Linked DNA regions of Kluyveromyces lactis. The protein of the gene in region 1 binds, or shares a complex with, the protein of each later gene. Links are inferred from orthologs where the notes say so. Each region holds a gene or a part of one and is shown in the gene's direction. Other genes may lie near its edges. The genes, in order: BNI5, CDC3, CDC11, CDC12 and SHS1.

The links.
Region 2: BNI5 (region 1) and CDC3 share a complex: the UniProt entries of both Saccharomyces cerevisiae proteins name them as parts of the GIN4 complex. The link is inferred for Kluyveromyces lactis from reciprocal best matches to the Saccharomyces cerevisiae genes BNI5 and CDC3.
Region 3: BNI5 (region 1) and CDC11 share a complex: the UniProt entries of both Saccharomyces cerevisiae proteins name them as parts of the GIN4 complex. The link is inferred for Kluyveromyces lactis from reciprocal best matches to the Saccharomyces cerevisiae genes BNI5 and CDC11.
Region 4: BNI5 (region 1) and CDC12 share a complex: the UniProt entries of both Saccharomyces cerevisiae proteins name them as parts of the GIN4 complex. The link is inferred for Kluyveromyces lactis from reciprocal best matches to the Saccharomyces cerevisiae genes BNI5 and CDC12.
Region 5: BNI5 (region 1) and SHS1 share a complex: the UniProt entries of both Saccharomyces cerevisiae proteins name them as parts of the GIN4 complex. The link is inferred for Kluyveromyces lactis from reciprocal best matches to the Saccharomyces cerevisiae genes BNI5 and SHS1.

The regions. Positions count from the first base shown.
Region 1 is NC_006040.1:682,530-685,236, forward strand, and holds BNI5 (Bni5p), read left to right. Parts: upstream 1-1,202; coding exon 1,203-2,201; downstream 2,202-2,707. Other genes in the region: KLLA0_D07964g (uncharacterized protein), read right to left, coding at 1-749; DNA-directed RNA polymerase core subunit RPC10, read left to right, coding at 2,469-2,681. UniProt on the Saccharomyces cerevisiae protein: Required for normal septin function and cytokinesis. Its recruitment to the bud neck by CDCd11 and SHS1 ensures efficient localization at the bud neck of MYO1, the type II myosin of the actomyosin contractile ring.
Region 2 is NC_006040.1:348,286-351,700, reverse strand, and holds CDC3 (septin CDC3), read left to right. Parts: upstream 1-1,422; coding exon 1,423-2,910; downstream 2,911-3,415. Other genes in the region: HIF1 (Hif1p), read right to left, coding at 1-725. UniProt on the Saccharomyces cerevisiae protein: Septins are GTPases involved in cytokinesis that assemble early in the cell cycle as a patch at the incipient bud site and form a ring approximate 15 minutes before bud emergence, which transforms into an hour-glass shaped collar of cortical filaments that spans both sides of the mother-bud neck.
Region 3 is NC_006038.1:1,258,291-1,261,285, reverse strand, and holds CDC11 (septin CDC11), read left to right. Parts: upstream 1-1,216; coding exon 1,217-2,479; downstream 2,480-2,995. Other genes in the region: TRP3 (bifunctional anthranilate synthase/indole-3-glycerol-phosphate synthase), read right to left, coding at 1-560. UniProt on the Saccharomyces cerevisiae protein: Septins are GTPases involved in cytokinesis that assemble early in the cell cycle as a patch at the incipient bud site and form a ring approximate 15 minutes before bud emergence, which transforms into an hour-glass shaped collar of cortical filaments that spans both sides of the mother-bud neck.
Region 4 is NC_006041.1:1,924,703-1,927,769, forward strand, and holds CDC12 (septin CDC12), read left to right. Parts: upstream 1-1,358; coding exon 1,359-2,543; downstream 2,544-3,067. Other genes in the region: TRP4 (anthranilate phosphoribosyltransferase), read right to left, coding at 1-879; KLLA0_E21605g (thioredoxin-disulfide reductase), read right to left, coding at 2,985-3,067. UniProt on the Saccharomyces cerevisiae protein: Septins are GTPases involved in cytokinesis that assemble early in the cell cycle as a patch at the incipient bud site and form a ring approximate 15 minutes before bud emergence, which transforms into an hour-glass shaped collar of cortical filaments that spans both sides of the mother-bud neck.
Region 5 is NC_006042.1:1,938,276-1,941,847, forward strand, and holds SHS1 (septin SHS1), read left to right. Parts: upstream 1-1,413; coding exon 1,414-3,069; downstream 3,070-3,572. Other genes in the region: GCR2 (Gcr2p), read right to left, coding at 1-561. UniProt on the Saccharomyces cerevisiae protein: Septins are GTPases involved in cytokinesis that assemble early in the cell cycle as a patch at the incipient bud site and form a ring approximately 15 minutes before bud emergence, which transforms into an hour-glass shaped collar of cortical filaments that spans both sides of the mother-bud neck.

The DNA.
Region 1 (2,707 bases):
AAATGTGGAACTTGATCATCCAAGATCACCAATTTCAAATCGTTTGCACCAAAGACAGACGTATATCCTGTTGTTCCAATCCATCTGAGATTCAATAAGGAATCAGTAATAGGTTCATAGACTTGACAATCAGTGTTCCTTCGTCCAATGCTATTCATCATCAAAACTGAGCATCTGATCCCATCAGGTTGGAAGCACACGAATTTATGGTATACAATCCCTTCACTATTGATAACGTTCCGGAAAACGTTACAAAATTCAACTTTGAAAAGAGACCTTTTCTCGTTTTGATGAAGAAGCTCTTTATTGGGCTCCTTGATATCATCGACTTTATCGTTATCAACCACCTTGTATTTGTAAATTTTGGACACTGGGGTGCTTTTCCTGAAATATGATTTGAACCCTACAGAAACGTAATGAAATAATGGCCACCCTTTACCGGAATCTAAGCATTTATCAAGTTTCCTACGGTTGGAAATAAATGTATCAAACGTGTCTTGATTTTCCCACGCAAAAAAACCCTTAGAAAGCATAACTGAAGCAAATATAACGGTTCTATTACTGGCAAATCGAGGGCTTCGATTCACAAAACCCAGCCGTTCGAAATCTCCAATGGTACTTGATTCAGAAAACACAGATTCCATTTCCCCTGGTGTAGAATGCGGGAAAGACATTAACGTGTTCTGATCATCTGCGTTAGATCTAGAATCCTGATTGTTTTGGCCATATCTCGATCGAAATCTATTCATAACGGTGTTTTCTAGTCATGCAATGACTCTTCTCTGGAAGATCTATACTCAGTAAAATTGAAACAAAAAGAAAAACCTTTCCACTCACTTTTAATAGGTATATCTGCCAGCAATTATATATTTATACGGCAATCCTGAAGTACCTTGAATACCACCTTCAAGATACCAATATAGTACCCAAAAAATGTGTCAAGTTGAAGAGAAGAAGGAGAAATATGCAGGTTTCCTTAAAATTGGGATCTAAGTCTCTTTTCTTATTTACATATAAACTGCCATACTGTGAAAAAATTCAAAAACTAAACAATATAAACAAAGGAAAAAGGAAACTTCCAGTCACCAATACGTGTATGTGTTAATAAAAGGCGTTTGTACTAGTAGTTGACGAGTTGAAGCGTATCAGTGGCAGAATAAAAGTGTCACATTGTTGATAGTGGCGTCCTATTTTTTTCAATTATGGATTCAGAGCAGGTAAAGAAACGAATGTCTCAAATTGAGTTAGAGATAAGTGAGATGAACGAGATGATAGATAAGAACTTGAGCATTCATGAGACCACGGTTAAGACGAAACAGGATGTTTCTTCTGACGATCAAGATGAGGATTACTTAGAGTTGCAGAAGCTAACGGCGAACCAGGTTGATCAATTTGTGCAGAATGCTATTAAAAGCGATGGGGAGGACGAGGTACCGGAAACACTAAGTAGTGGCAGAGAGACGGCACTACAAGCGGAAGAGCGAGAAGACATAAAAGAGGAGAAACCAGGTACTCAATTAGAGGCAGCAGTAGTGGCAGAAGTGGTGGCAGAAGTACAAACTGAACCAACTGCTGAGAAAGCTATTCCCGCTGTTTCCGTAACCTCTGTTCCAGCGAAGAGAATACCTTCTGAGAAGATCGAAGTCTCCACCAGCACAGAAGAGGATGAAGCAGCAGCAGCAGCTACGATTGTACCTAACACTGATAAATCAAGTACATACCCTGCTCCTGCAGCAATCGGCCATACTCAGAACGGAACCGTCCCTCGTGCACCAAACACTGACTCAAGCAACATACCTACTTCACCACGTATACTCACGCCGAAGAGCAACCCGTTCCGCGTAGTACATGTTGGTAGCCAACCAAGCTCCCGTAACGCATCGAGAAACAGCTCTAGGGTCTCAAGCACTTCCTCAGATATTTCAGACATAAACTTTGAACAATTACAGCAAAATTACAACTCACTCTCGGTCAAATGTACCAAACTACAAAAAGAAATCGATTACCTCCACAAATTTAAAAACGAAAGTACCTTAACGCTCGAAGACAGACGCAAACTGATCACTGCCATCGAAAAATTGCAAGAATACCTCGACAAGAAAAACAAACAACGTTACGATACAGGTGTAATATTATCCCGTCAAATAAGGAAAAACGTAGATATGGGGGCCAATGGCCAATTTTGGGTAGGAAGGTCGTAACCTGGAAATCTCGTACTACATACATACATACGTTCATTCGTGTCTATATAAATGTGTGTGTATTTCTATGCATCCTTTAAGTATTACCCTACCGTGTATTTCCAAAAGAAATTCTTCTGACCTTAGTAAGAAATTTGAATTGACAAGCTCATCATAGGAATCAGAAGCTTTGACTGAAACATACTGTCTCGGATACGAGAGTTATCCTCCGATAGTCGAGTCAGTGAGTGCGTTTGTGGCCCCAATAGTTTAAGAGTAAGTGTCAAGATGTCCCGTGAAGGTTTCCAAATCCCAACGAATTTAGATGCTGCTGCTGCTGGTGCAGCTCAGAGCAGAACTGCCACTTTGAAATACATCTGCGCAGAGTGTTCAAGCAGACTTTCGCTTTCCAGAACTGATCCCGTCCGTTGCAAGAATTGCGGTCACCGTATCCTACTCAAGGCCAGAACCAAGAGAATGGTCCAGTTCGAAGCCAGGTAAACCTGTTCCCATTCCATCACATAAAC
Region 2 (3,415 bases), about 330 kb from region 1:
CTCCTTAATTTCAAACATTCTTCGAAATCATGAGAAGCCTGAGAGAAATTTTCGCATTCTAGTGAGACTTCACCCAACAGGTCATAACATTCAGATAGTTTTAATTTTAGATCCTCGTTGTCTGGTGTTTCTTTCAAACTGGATTCATAGTATGACCTTGCAAGCTCTAGAATCTCCCATGCGTTTTCGAAATCATCTTTGTCAACTTCCTCTTGGCCTTCGACTTGATCTTCTTCCTCTTGCTCCTGATCTTGTTTTTGTTCTTCCTCTTCCTCTTCCTCCTCCTCCTCCTCCTCCTCCTCTTCCTCTTCCTCTTCCTCTTCCTCTTCCTCCTCCTCTTCTTCTTCTTCTTCTTCACCAAATTGAATCAGCCCAGGTCCTTTCGAGGCAGAATCATCTTCGTCTTGTTCTTCGTTATGTTCATCCCTCTTAACATTAGATCCCATACCAAAGACATCAGACCTGCTCAAAGCCAATTGGTACAATGCCTTACCATACAAAAACAAATATTCAGGGTTTGGATTCTCATTCTCACTGTCATACAATTGATTTAAATCTGCATAAGAATCGACTGCAAGTTCATAATTCTTACCAGCATAGTGCTTGGCTCCTTCTGTCAATAATTTATCAAACTTGTCCGACATTTTAGATTCAATTCTACGATAATGGACTGAAATTGTTAAACAATTGATTTGCAGTGTGTGATTGCTAACAGCAGCAATCATTAAAACACGCAAACAATTTAAATAATGCACAGAGACGCGTAATATTCATCGCATTGCGCAATTGCTTAAAATACATGTCGTTATCAAAGAAATCAAACCGGTGAATCCAAATCACGTGATTGATTTAAAACTTGTGTAAATTTACAATAACCGGGTAACTGTTGACACGTGACTTAGGAATTCTTACGCCTCGAATCTAAAACACCTTGCTTGAATACCGTTCCATTGCAATGGACTCTACACTGAAAGAAAAAGACAAAGGCCGTAAATACTAGCCAATATATACATCCAAAAATAGGGCAGATGATATTGAAGCCAAATCAACTAAAGGAGACTTGCTTAAAGTAGTTTTACGTCTGTATGTACTTCTTATTTCTGTGCCTATTCAGTATCTTATTTTTGCTTCTTTTCTTCCTTTTCTATATTGACAGATCGATGTCTCGAAGAAATTTACAAAGAACGCGATTTAAAACCTAAACCACAAATATAGAAATTTAAATCGAGTAGATTATCTGGTTTATTATTTATAATTTTATACACGTAAATTCGGTTTTGATCTGGATCAACAGCATACACAGGTGTCAAGTCTTACTTTGAAAGTTGTTTAAAAGCCTCGGTTTAGGAGTGCATTGAATATCAGGCTAGCCAACAACCATAGCAGTGTGTGAAAGAAAACTGGAAAATATTATTATCCACAATGGCAGAAGTTATTAACGATACAGTCAAGTCAGAAGCTATTTCATTGAAGCATGAGGACTCCGTAGCTACTGGATTGGACAGCGTGAATCAAGACAACAATGTTGAGCAGACTTTTTCAGATGCAAATGGTGATGAAATCGCGCCAGCTGTGCAAGAATCAAATGGTACATTGGGCCAAGTTTTGCCCGATCAGCCAAACCTCAAGGTTGTTCGTCGTATCATCAATGGATACGTGGGCTTTGCTAATTTACCCAAACAATGGCATAGAAAGTCAATTCGTCGTGGATTCAACCTGAATTTGTTATGTGTTGGTTACAAAGGGTTGGGTAAATCTACGTTGATAAATACGTTGTTCAACAGAGAGTTGTACGAGCAAGACGCTCTATCCCATGGAGTACAGTCTTTAGATTTGGGTGATGGTAATGGCAACGATGTCAGTGTCAAGAAGGAAAATGGTGAAAACGGTCCAGCAGAAGAAAACAAAGTCAAGATCGAAACCGTTTCAGCTGAAATCGAAGAAAATGGAGTGAAATTGCAATTGACCGTGGTTGATGCACCAGGATTTGGTGATTCTATTGATAACACAGATTCATGGAAGCCAATTGTGGATGAAATAAATCGTAGATTCGACCAATATCTCGAGTCTGAAAACAAGATTCAAAGAACTACTTTGCAAGATAACAGGATTCATGCTTGTCTCTACTTTATCGAACCTACTGGTCATGGTTTGAAGCCGTTGGATTTGGAATTCTGCAAGCAGGTTCATTCCAAATGTAACTTGATCCCCGTTATCGCCAAATCTGACATCTTAACTGACGAAGAAATTGTCACTTTCAAAGCCACCATCAAGAAACAACTAGAACAAGCCAACGTGCAGTTGTTTGAACCACCTCAATATTCTATGCTGGGAGATGAAACTTCAACTGAAAACATCTTTGAAAAGATTCCTTTTGCCATTGTCGGTTCCACTGAACAAGTCACTACAGAAGACGGTAGAAAAGTTAGAGGTAGGGCTTACCCATGGGGTGTCATCGAAGTTGACAACACAAAACATTCTGATTTTGTATATTTAAGAGATCTATTAATTAGACAATACTTGGAAGAATTACGCGAAAGGACTAACAAAGTATTATACGAAAAATATAGATCTGAAAAGCTATTAGGATTGGGTATCAAACAAGACAACAGTGTCTTCAAGAATTTCGATCCAGAAACTAGACAAAAGGAGGAAAAACAACTACACGAAGTCAAACTAGCTAAATTGGAAGCTGAAATGAAGGCAGTATTCCAACAGAAAGTTGAAGAAAAGGAAAAGAAGTTACAGAAATCTGAAGCTGAATTGTTCGCTAGACACAAGGAATTGAAGGATAAGCTTACAAGCCAACTAAAAGCGTTAGAAGAAAAGAAGCGTCAACTTGAACTTTCCCTTGCTAACCAACCAACAAGCTCTCCAATTCCTGCTAAGAAGAAAGGCTTCTTACGTTAAGAAATGAGTAAGATGATAAATATAGTATAGTCTTCGTGAACTTCATCTGTATTTCACAAGATCTCCAGACATGTCTTTATTTTCTTTACATCCGTCTATCTTTTATCTAAATGTATAACTACGAATCTCAATAACTAAGCCAGCTGAAGCTAACTAATCAACACAATGTCAACGAGTGTAATGCATCACCATACAGTACATGTAACAAAGCAAAACGGTTAAGTGCCCAGCTAGCTGCGACACAACTAACGTAAATTTTGTGGGTCTGTTAATGCGGTTAAATCAAGGTAATTCGCACAGTTTAGTAGGGAGATTTCGACTTGCCTTTTTTCTGTCGCTTTCGGTCGTTGAGAGATTACTGCTGTACTCGACTCTTTTACTAAAGCCCAAGAGGGAAAAAAAAAAAGGAAAGTCAATAAAGGTAAAGAAATATGTATGTGGATGTAGTAAGTGCAACTCAGTATGATAATATGTAAGCGTTCAGCATAAATCTCTCGAAATACTT
Region 3 (2,995 bases), on another chromosome or scaffold:
TTGATCATTTGATGCCCACTCTCGGTCAAGATAGATTCTGGATGGAATTGCACACCTTCCACAGTGTATTTCTTATGTCTCACACCCATAATAATTCCAGTCTCCGTTCTTGCACTAACTTCAAGCACATCAGGAAGTGTTTCCTTGGCGCCAGCAAGCGAATGGTACCGCGTCACTGCGACACCTTGAGGTACTTTTCTAAAGAAACCTTTTCCATCATGGAATATTGGTGAAGTCTTACCATGAACAATTTCTCCAGCAAAGCTAACTTCACCGCCAAAGACATCAAACATACATTGCTGACCCATGCAGACACCAAACACAGGGACTTTGCCGCAGAAGAATGCGATACAGTCTCTTGATATCCCGGAATCGGTCTCTGGATGACCTGGACCCGGTGAAATCATGACAATATCAGGGTTCAATGCTTCAACTTCTTCCACAGTAATCTTATCATTTCTGAAAACTAAAACTTCAGCACCCTCAGTGCAAAGATATTCATAGATGTTCCAGGTGAACGAATCGTAGTTATCGATCAAAACAACTCTTTTAGCGGACATGATATCAAATTAATGCGAAAACCTAGTTCCTTTTTATCACAGTATAGTGTAGTTGCCCTACTAGATAATTATCAACCAAATATAACCAATCGATAAGAAATTATCGAAAGTTTCTTCTTACAATTATTTCAATGCCCTTTAAGGGTTCCTTTAAATATAAAATCGTCTTGAACATGAGATGATTAACTGGTTCCACATCACAATTCGAGATGAGTCAAGAGAAAGCTTTGATGAAATGAGAAATTGAATCGAATTTCGTCCTAAATGATAAATATGTATGTGATGTACGGATGTGTCAACATTCAAATCCACATTCTTAAGGCAATTGTGCATCGCTGGATTGATTATTCCGTAATCTGACTTCCAAGTAACAATCTATAACCTCTGTTCAATTAGCTGAGCCCCTCTATCATCCATCAAATGCTCTTTCACCGTCGAATACCTACTCTTTCTCTGTTTCCTCCATACTAAATTCCAGATTCCTCAGAGTAACGAATTTAGAATCAGATCGGAAACGTGAAACTTTAAACAAACAACTAACACGTAAACAACACAATTAACAGAAGAGCTGCTCAGAGGTCTTATTAGCACCTAATTTCTGTCGGGGTATTGAATTGGGAAACAAAAGCACTGCTACAATTGTAATTTAGACAGAAATGGCAAGTATTATTCAGGCATCTGCCGCTTTGCGTAAACGGAAGAACTTGAAGAGAGGAATTCAGTTCACGGTGATGGTTGTTGGTCAGTCTGGGTGCGGTAGGTCGACGTTCATTAACACTCTATGTGGACAGAAAGTGGTAGATACTTCTACCACGATTATGTTACCAACGGACACAAATACGCAGATTGATGTGCAATTGAGGGAAGAAATCGTTGAGTTAGAAGACGAAGAAGGTCTTAAGATCCAATTGAATATCATTGATACTCCGGGATTCGGCGACTCTTTGGATAATTCTCCATCGTTTGACATTATCTCTGATTACATTCGTCACCAGTACGATGAAATTTTGTTGGAAGAGAGCCGTGTAAGGAGAAATCCTCGGTTTAAAGATGGTAGGGTGCATTGTTGTTTATATTTGATCAATCCTACTGGACATGGATTGAAAGAGATTGACGTGGAATTCATCAGAAGACTAGGTACTCTAGTGAACGTGATCCCCGTTATCAGTAAAGCAGATTCCTTGACCGCTGAAGAGTTGAAATTGAACAAGAAATTGATCGCAAAGGATATCGACTATTATTCGCTACCTATCTACAACTTCCCATTCGATGAGGAAGACGCGTCAGACGAAGATTATCAAACAAACACATATCTCAGAGGTTTACTGCCCTTCTCTATCATCGGTTCCAACGATGTGTTTGAATCTGCAGACGGGTCCGTGATTCGTGGTAGAAAATATCCATGGGGAACCCTTGACGTCGAGGATGCTAACATCTCTGATTTCGTCGTCCTAAGGAACACTCTACTCATTTCACATTTACACGATATGAAGGAATTTACTCATGAGATCCTATACGAAAGATACAGAACTGAAGCCTTGTCCGGTGAGATGCCAACTGTAGGAACTACGACTCATAACAGAGCTTTCAGCACCACGAACAACGAATACCTAGGATCACCCGCTGTATCTGGTAGAGAATCTGTGAGGGGCAATGGATTACCATCTGCGTTGGGGAACAATGATTCGACTTCTTTACATTCTAACAACGCGTCATCGAACCAGGACACTTACTTGGCAAGAGAAGAACAAATCAAGCTAGAAGAAGAAAGATTAAGGGTTTTCGAAGAAAGAGTGCAACAAGAATTGCAATTGAAGAGACAGGAATTGCTGCAAAGAGAGCAAGAATTAAGAGAAATCGAAGAGAGGCTAGAAAAGGAAGCCCAATTGAAACAGGAAGGAATCAAATTGGAACAATAAGTTGTTGTCCCTTCCTGCACACTAAATAGAACTACATATTTCGTTTCTTTCTTTAACCTATACCTCAGTTATTACCATAAGATAGATAAAGCATTACGAACCATTTCAGGCTACTGGCTGCTAGTCGTGTGCTACACTTTATCGATGCCCTAACGATCAAGCAAAACCTCATTCATTTAAGAAAAAAATTCCCGAACGAAAACCATATAAAAGCCACTTACTTCGAGGCCGAAAATAAGACGAAAAAGACGGTAGAAGGATGGCTTCTGAGCACCAAATGGGTAGTACCAGGGGTACCAGGGATACCAGGTGTACCATGACCTAGTAAATCTCCTTTACATTATCTCACACAGCATGCCAGGAGGCGTGTGCCGTGTTCTGACAAGAAAACATCATGTATGAAGATGTGGGATGGAAAAGCTTTTAGATGATGAGTAACCAGATAGGGACAACAGATATTCGTTTAAGTGACGAGGAAAGTCTTTTAATTGCCCAGTTTTTAGTAGAGCTTGGGCG
Region 4 (3,067 bases), on another chromosome or scaffold:
CCTTGCATTCTCGCGAGGGCCCAACGATGGGCATTCTGCAAGAGTATGCTCTTGTAAACCGAAATCTGACGGGTTTATAGAGAATGATTCGACGGTACCATTCAAGGTCACATGCCAAACAATAGTGTTCCCTACAGGTGATACTTCATCGAGACCAACTTCACCCCAAACGACGAATGTTTCACTGTCAGGATAGATAAGTCTTGCTGCTTCTGCATACTCAGGTGCCAATTCCTTGGAGAAGACACCTAGAACTCTTTTTTGAACATGGGATACAGGATGCAATAACGGTCCCAAGACATTAAATATTGTTGGGATACCCAATGCTTTCCTGAGCAGAGCGACATGTTTCATACCGTCATGGAAATAAGGAGCCAATAGAAATGTGAACGAATTTTCATCCCAAATTTTAGGTAAAGTCGACGCAGTCACCTTAGATGAATCACAACCTAAAACTCCGATCAAATCACCAGCACCTGAATTGGAAGTCGATGCTTTCCCACCATGTTTACAAACCTTCAAGCCTGGGATGCCCGAAGCGACAATGGCTGCAGAAGTAGACACGTTAAAAGTGTTTTGGCCGTCACCACCTGTACCGACGATATCTAAGACAATATCATCAGTATGAGTCAAGGTCGTTGAATCGACAACAGTTGAAAACTTCAACACAGCCGAGGCAGCAGCTGCAATATATTCAGCTTTGTGATCCAATCCAGTTGCTCTCAACACTGAAAGGAAAGAGGCAATCGGTACCACAGCTTCCACAGTAAATTCCTTCGATAGCGTATCAATTATGTAAACGATAACTTCGTGCAATTCTGCAGGAGTCAAACTAGGCGGGCTCTTCAAAAGCTTCTTCGTAAAGGAAATAATACTCATAGTTACAAAATGTAGAAGCTGGTAACACAGCGATACCTTAAAGGTAGGAAGGCACTACTTAGCAGTGAGAGTAGATTTGCCGTTATTTAACGCAAAGTGATTATCTTTCTATGTACCAGTTTGATATATGTTAATGACTATATAGATCCACGGTTCGAGAAATAACAGAATATACATTGGAAAGCACGTGACTCGCTTCTCATTACCCTACCCTTCTTTGCTCGAGAGATCTCTGAAATGTTCCTGGGAACCTAGGATTCCTCGACACGAAACAATTCGAAACTTTGTTCAAATATAGAATACTGGCTAAAACAAGCCTATATTAAAATTGAAATTGGAATTACAGTTTGTTTACAGGAGTTATCGTAGCTACCTGCAGTAACAATCTGACCTTCTGTTCATTAGCAAATATAACATTGTGTGCTTCAGCAAAAGATAGTATAATTGGTACCAATTAATTGCAACGGAACTTTGAAACAATGACCACGGAAGAATTTGTAGGAATCTCGAATTTACCAAATCAGATCTACAAGCTGGTATCCAAACAAGGTGGAGTATTCACCTTGTTAACATGCGGTGAAAGTGGTTTGGGTAAAACTACCTTCATAAATACGTTGTTCCAGGCAACATTGAAGCCATCTGACTCCCATACAGGCCGTTCGATGCAAGGGCCAATTAGGAAGACCGTGGAGATTGATATATTACGTGCAGAACTAGAGGAGAAGAATTTTACCTTGAAGGTGAATGTAATTGATACTCCCGGGTTTGGTGACAACATCAATAACGATAAATCGTGGCAACAGATCATTGATTTTATAGACGATCAACACGATTCCTATATGCGTCAAGAACAACAACCATACAGAGATGTGAAATTTGATCTAAGAGTACACGCTGTACTGTACTTTATCAGACCTACAGGACATGGTTTGAAACCATTGGATATTGAAACTATGAAGAGGATCAGCACTCGTGCTAACTTAATTCCCGTAATCGCCAAGGCTGATACTTTGACAAGTCAGGAATTACAAGATTTCAAGCTTAGAATTAGACAGGTCATTGAGGCACAAGAGATTCGTATCTTTACACCACCTTTGAATGAGACACAGGATGATGCAGCCGCTATGGAACATGCTAGACAACTAATTGAATCCATGCCATTTGCAATTGTTGGTTCAGAAGAACAATTCGATAACGGTAGTGGTACCAAAGTTGTTGCAAGAAAATATCCATGGGGGTTAGTGGAAGTAGAGAATGATCAACACTGTGATTTCCGCAAATTGAGATCGTTGTTGTTGAGAACAAATCTGTTAGATCTTGTCTTATCCACTCAAGAGCTACATTACGAAACCTATAGGAGATTACGTTTGGAATCTCATTTGAATGGATCGTCTAACGATAACGAACTAGGAGAAAAATCGGCGAACAACTTCGTTGCTGCACCAGCAAGAAAATTATCACATAATCCAAAGTTCAAAGAAGAAGAAAACGCACTAAAAAAATACTTCACTGATCAAGTTAAGGCCGAAGAACAAAGATTCAGACAGTGGGAACAAAACATTGTGAATGAAAGAATTAAACTGAACGGTGATTTGGAAAAGATTCAAGCCGAAGTAAAGAAATTAGAAGATCAAGTGGCCACATTGAAATTAAGAAAACGCTAGGGTGTAATGGTTCGAAATTGTTTTTTTCATTCCCATTTATATTCCTTTTAACAACCCAATTTTTATGTTATTTTCCATTCTCACATTATTCTCATTGAATAATGCCATTTCTGAACCTTGTAGAACGATGTCCACACAGTTGTTATTTTAAACTACTTTCTATTGATCTTTCCTATATATCAATATAAGCTGTAAAGATGATATGTTATCATTATTTATTCTTTTTTTCTCTACTCGGAAGGGAGAGTATAGAAGATATTGGACTAGCGGTGGAAAGGTGAGCCTTATAGACTAATGAAAGAAAATCTTCCTCCTGCTGAGAAACTAGGAACAAACATAAATTTCAATTAAAGGAGTAGTCGCGATGATATTTATATATAAGATATAGACATAATATCAAAGCTTTGATATGGGAATCTCACCAAATTTATCAATGTGTATCTATTCTAATTCAGTGATGTACTTTTCAGCATCCAAAGCAGCCATACAACCGGAACCAGCAGATGTGATTGCTTGTCTGTATC
Region 5 (3,572 bases), on another chromosome or scaffold:
AACCGATTTACGTCTGGGGGCAAGCACGGGCGATTCCCTAGCAGACGCAGTGGTACTTTTCCCTGGCCTCCTCAACGGTGTTATTAACCCCGTTGTCTTGTCGTAGACTTTGTCGATGTTGAAAGATAATACCTGCCATAGAGGATCGTCCACGTTATCCCGTATCTTCCAGTTGTTCTCATCCAACTTCAAAAAATACCGATTGTACGGGCTCACGTCATAACTTAGCAATATCTCTTTCAATATCTGTTGAAATCGCTGAAACAATTCGATATTTGATTTGGGTACGTTCGATTGTTCATCTAAGGGTACGATTGTCACTAGAGCATCGTAAAGTTGTGAGAGACTTTGGAAATATTGCATATGACGTTCGTCCAAGGGTTTCAGCGATATAGGAGATTGCTGATTCGGACTAATCGTGGAATTCAATAGCTCGGGAAGCTCCAAGACTTCTCCGTTGGATATCAATTGGTAACCCTTGATCAAAAATACGTCGAGCTTGATCTGATGATGCATGATGCCTGTCGGACTACTATGTGAAGTGCTCCCGATATCAGACATGGCTCTTCCAGTATGTGTACGTAGCAGGGGAGGGCCGATCTTTGAAGTCCGTAACAAGCAGTTCAAAGACCTTAAGTATGCTGCCGCTTCCGCAGATTTTCTCGCTTACTGTGTATTTCTTTCTCTCTTTCTCTCTATCTTTCGTTTCGTTAAGGTGCAACATTTCCACATTGCATCACCTTATGTTCTAGCAAGAACTAAAAGCGACAAAATTGCAAAACAAAGACGCATCTCATTGAACACATAGAGCCCTTCTGCAAGGGCTAAAATCCGAAGCCTTTCATATGTAGACCAAGGCAGTACCAAAGCTAGCCGGACCTAGATCGAAGATCGTTATCAACTTATAACGTAATCCACTGACGGACATATACATTCACATCACTGAGACAGAAATATAAGTCACGTGAAGAAGTGGCGCCATATATATGTATATATGCCTTAGTTCCCCAATACATAGACTAGTTACGATATGTGGTTCATCGAACTGTAACCATTTGATGTTCCCATGTCACTGGTAACTTTTGTCCTTGCCTTAGGTATCTTTGAGTGTCTCATTTCCCATGGCTATGTTCGAGCCTTTTAATCGGTGAAAAGTTTCGAAACGGTTAATATCACGTAAAAGATATCAATTCCATATTTAAATTTAGACGAGAATGTAATTTGACTGAAACAACAACGTCTTTTGATAAAAAAAGTGTATTCTATACGTTGCAGAGCTACATTAATCAAGTGAACCATTGAACGAGACGAGTTTCAATCAATTGGATAGGAATCATTGTACTTTGGCGATTCTATTTAGAATATAATTGGAAGTGAAAAGTGAAGCCGTTTGATCTTGGAAGCAATAAAAAGATGTCCGCTAGTCCTGTATCTCAGGTATTCTCACCAAGCAACAATGGGGTCAGTGTGTTCCGTAGAAAGAAGGAGAAGAGAGGTATTACTTTCTCGATGATGTTGGTTGGTGCTTCTGGTACTGGTAAGACCACTTTCGCTAACAATTTATTGGAATCTACCATTTTCCCTCATAGATATCAACAAGATGTTCCAGCTAGCACGAATAACGAGAATGTTAAGATTATCCAACCAACTAAGGTTGTCACGTTCAATTCGATGAACGGTATTCCCAGCTACATGTCGGCATTTGATCCAGCCTCGCCGTTTTTGGAACCAGGTATCACTGTGACGTCTACTGCCCTGGAGATCACGACGAAATCTAGTGAGGATATCGATAGCGCTACCCCTGAAAAGATCAATTTCTTTCTCACCGACACCCTGGGACTGGGTGAAAACTTAAATAATGGGATCTGTTTCGATGAGATTGCTTCATATTTGGAGCAACAATTTGATTCGGTACTCGCTGAGGAGACCAGAATCAAGAGAAATCCAAGGTTCCAGGATACAAGAGTTCATGTCGCGTTATACTTTATTGAACCCACGGGACATGGGTTACGTGAATTGGATGTTGAAATTATGAAGAGACTATCCCGCTACACAAATGTTCTACCAATTGTCGCTAGAGCAGATTCGTTCACACCTGATGAATTGACTAGGTTCAAGAAGAGAATTATGGAAGACATTGATAGATTTAACGTTCCTATCTACAAATTCGAAGTTGACGAAAATGAGGATGATCTAGAAACAATTGAAGAGAACAAGGCATTAGCGAGACTTCAGCCGTTTGCTATTATCTGCGCCGACCAACGCGATAATGCTACCGGTAAATACTATCGTGAGTATCCATGGGGTAAAATTGACATCGATAATGAAAACATTTCGGACTTGAAATTGTTGAAAAGGGTTCTCTTCGGGTCCCATTTGCAAGAGTTTAAGGACACGACACAAAATCTGTTGTATGAAAACTACCGTGCTGAGAAATTGGCGTCTGTGCCAGCCTGGGACATTGAAAACAACGAAGTTATAGATACTTCTATCAATGACGAAAACAATGAGGGTAATTCTTCAGGGTTGATGAAAGGGTTGACTAGAAACAGTACAGCTCCATCCTTGTCAAATTTCGCCTCTCTAATAAATACAGGAAAGTTTAAGTCTCAACAATCACTTGCAATTCCACCTCAATCTGAAACCCCATCTACACCACGTCTAACCGGGGTAGATGAAGGAGATGAGTCTCGCGCTTCAATCTCTGCCAGTTCACAGAAATCTACTCCTGCCAATATTCAAACTTCTCCAGAAAGAACAAAGTTACGGAATATTTCCGAAAATATCCCATACATGCTTCAGCACGAGCGCATAGTAGCAAGGAAACAAAAGCTTGAAGAATTGGAGGCACAATCTGCCAAAGAGTTACAAAAGAGAATTCAAGAACTTGAAAGAAAGGCTATTGAATTGAAGATGAAGGAAAAGCTACTAAGACAAAACTCACATAGTCAATCTCAAGAATCTATCCAGACTAATACAACTAAACAAAATTCAACTTCTGGAGGTGCTTACATTAAGAAAGAGGAAACCTATAACGATTTAGCTTCGATAATCAGCAAAAAAGAATGAATTCAGTCTTGATATCTTTCTTTGGCATTTTTGTAAGTCGAAGTGTTTGGTTCCTGAAACGATTTCATATGTAATTTAAACAATATTGATTATTTTGTATATTGCAAACGGTCACGTCTAGATTGATCTGCTACCTGTTTCCAAATTTGATGAGTTTAAGATGGTGATGTAAAAATCAGAAAAATATACGTACTGTTACAGGTATATATATATATATAATATAATAATGAGTTAAGGTATTTTCGTGCCACTTATCAATAAATGGAATTTATCTGTTCAGATGACATAGTATTATGAGATAAAAAAGATTGGTGAAAAATTTATGTTCATCCAGTGCTTCAAGATAAAAAATAGCTAGTGTAACTGGAGAGAACTAAGAAAACCGAAAAATGCAAAATAATGTTCCCGATGGCAATTAAAAACATCAAGAAACAACATTCATTCAGCGACGATGAGAAAAGGCACTGGGGGAAATAATAGGAAAAGAGATTTAACCGAATTGA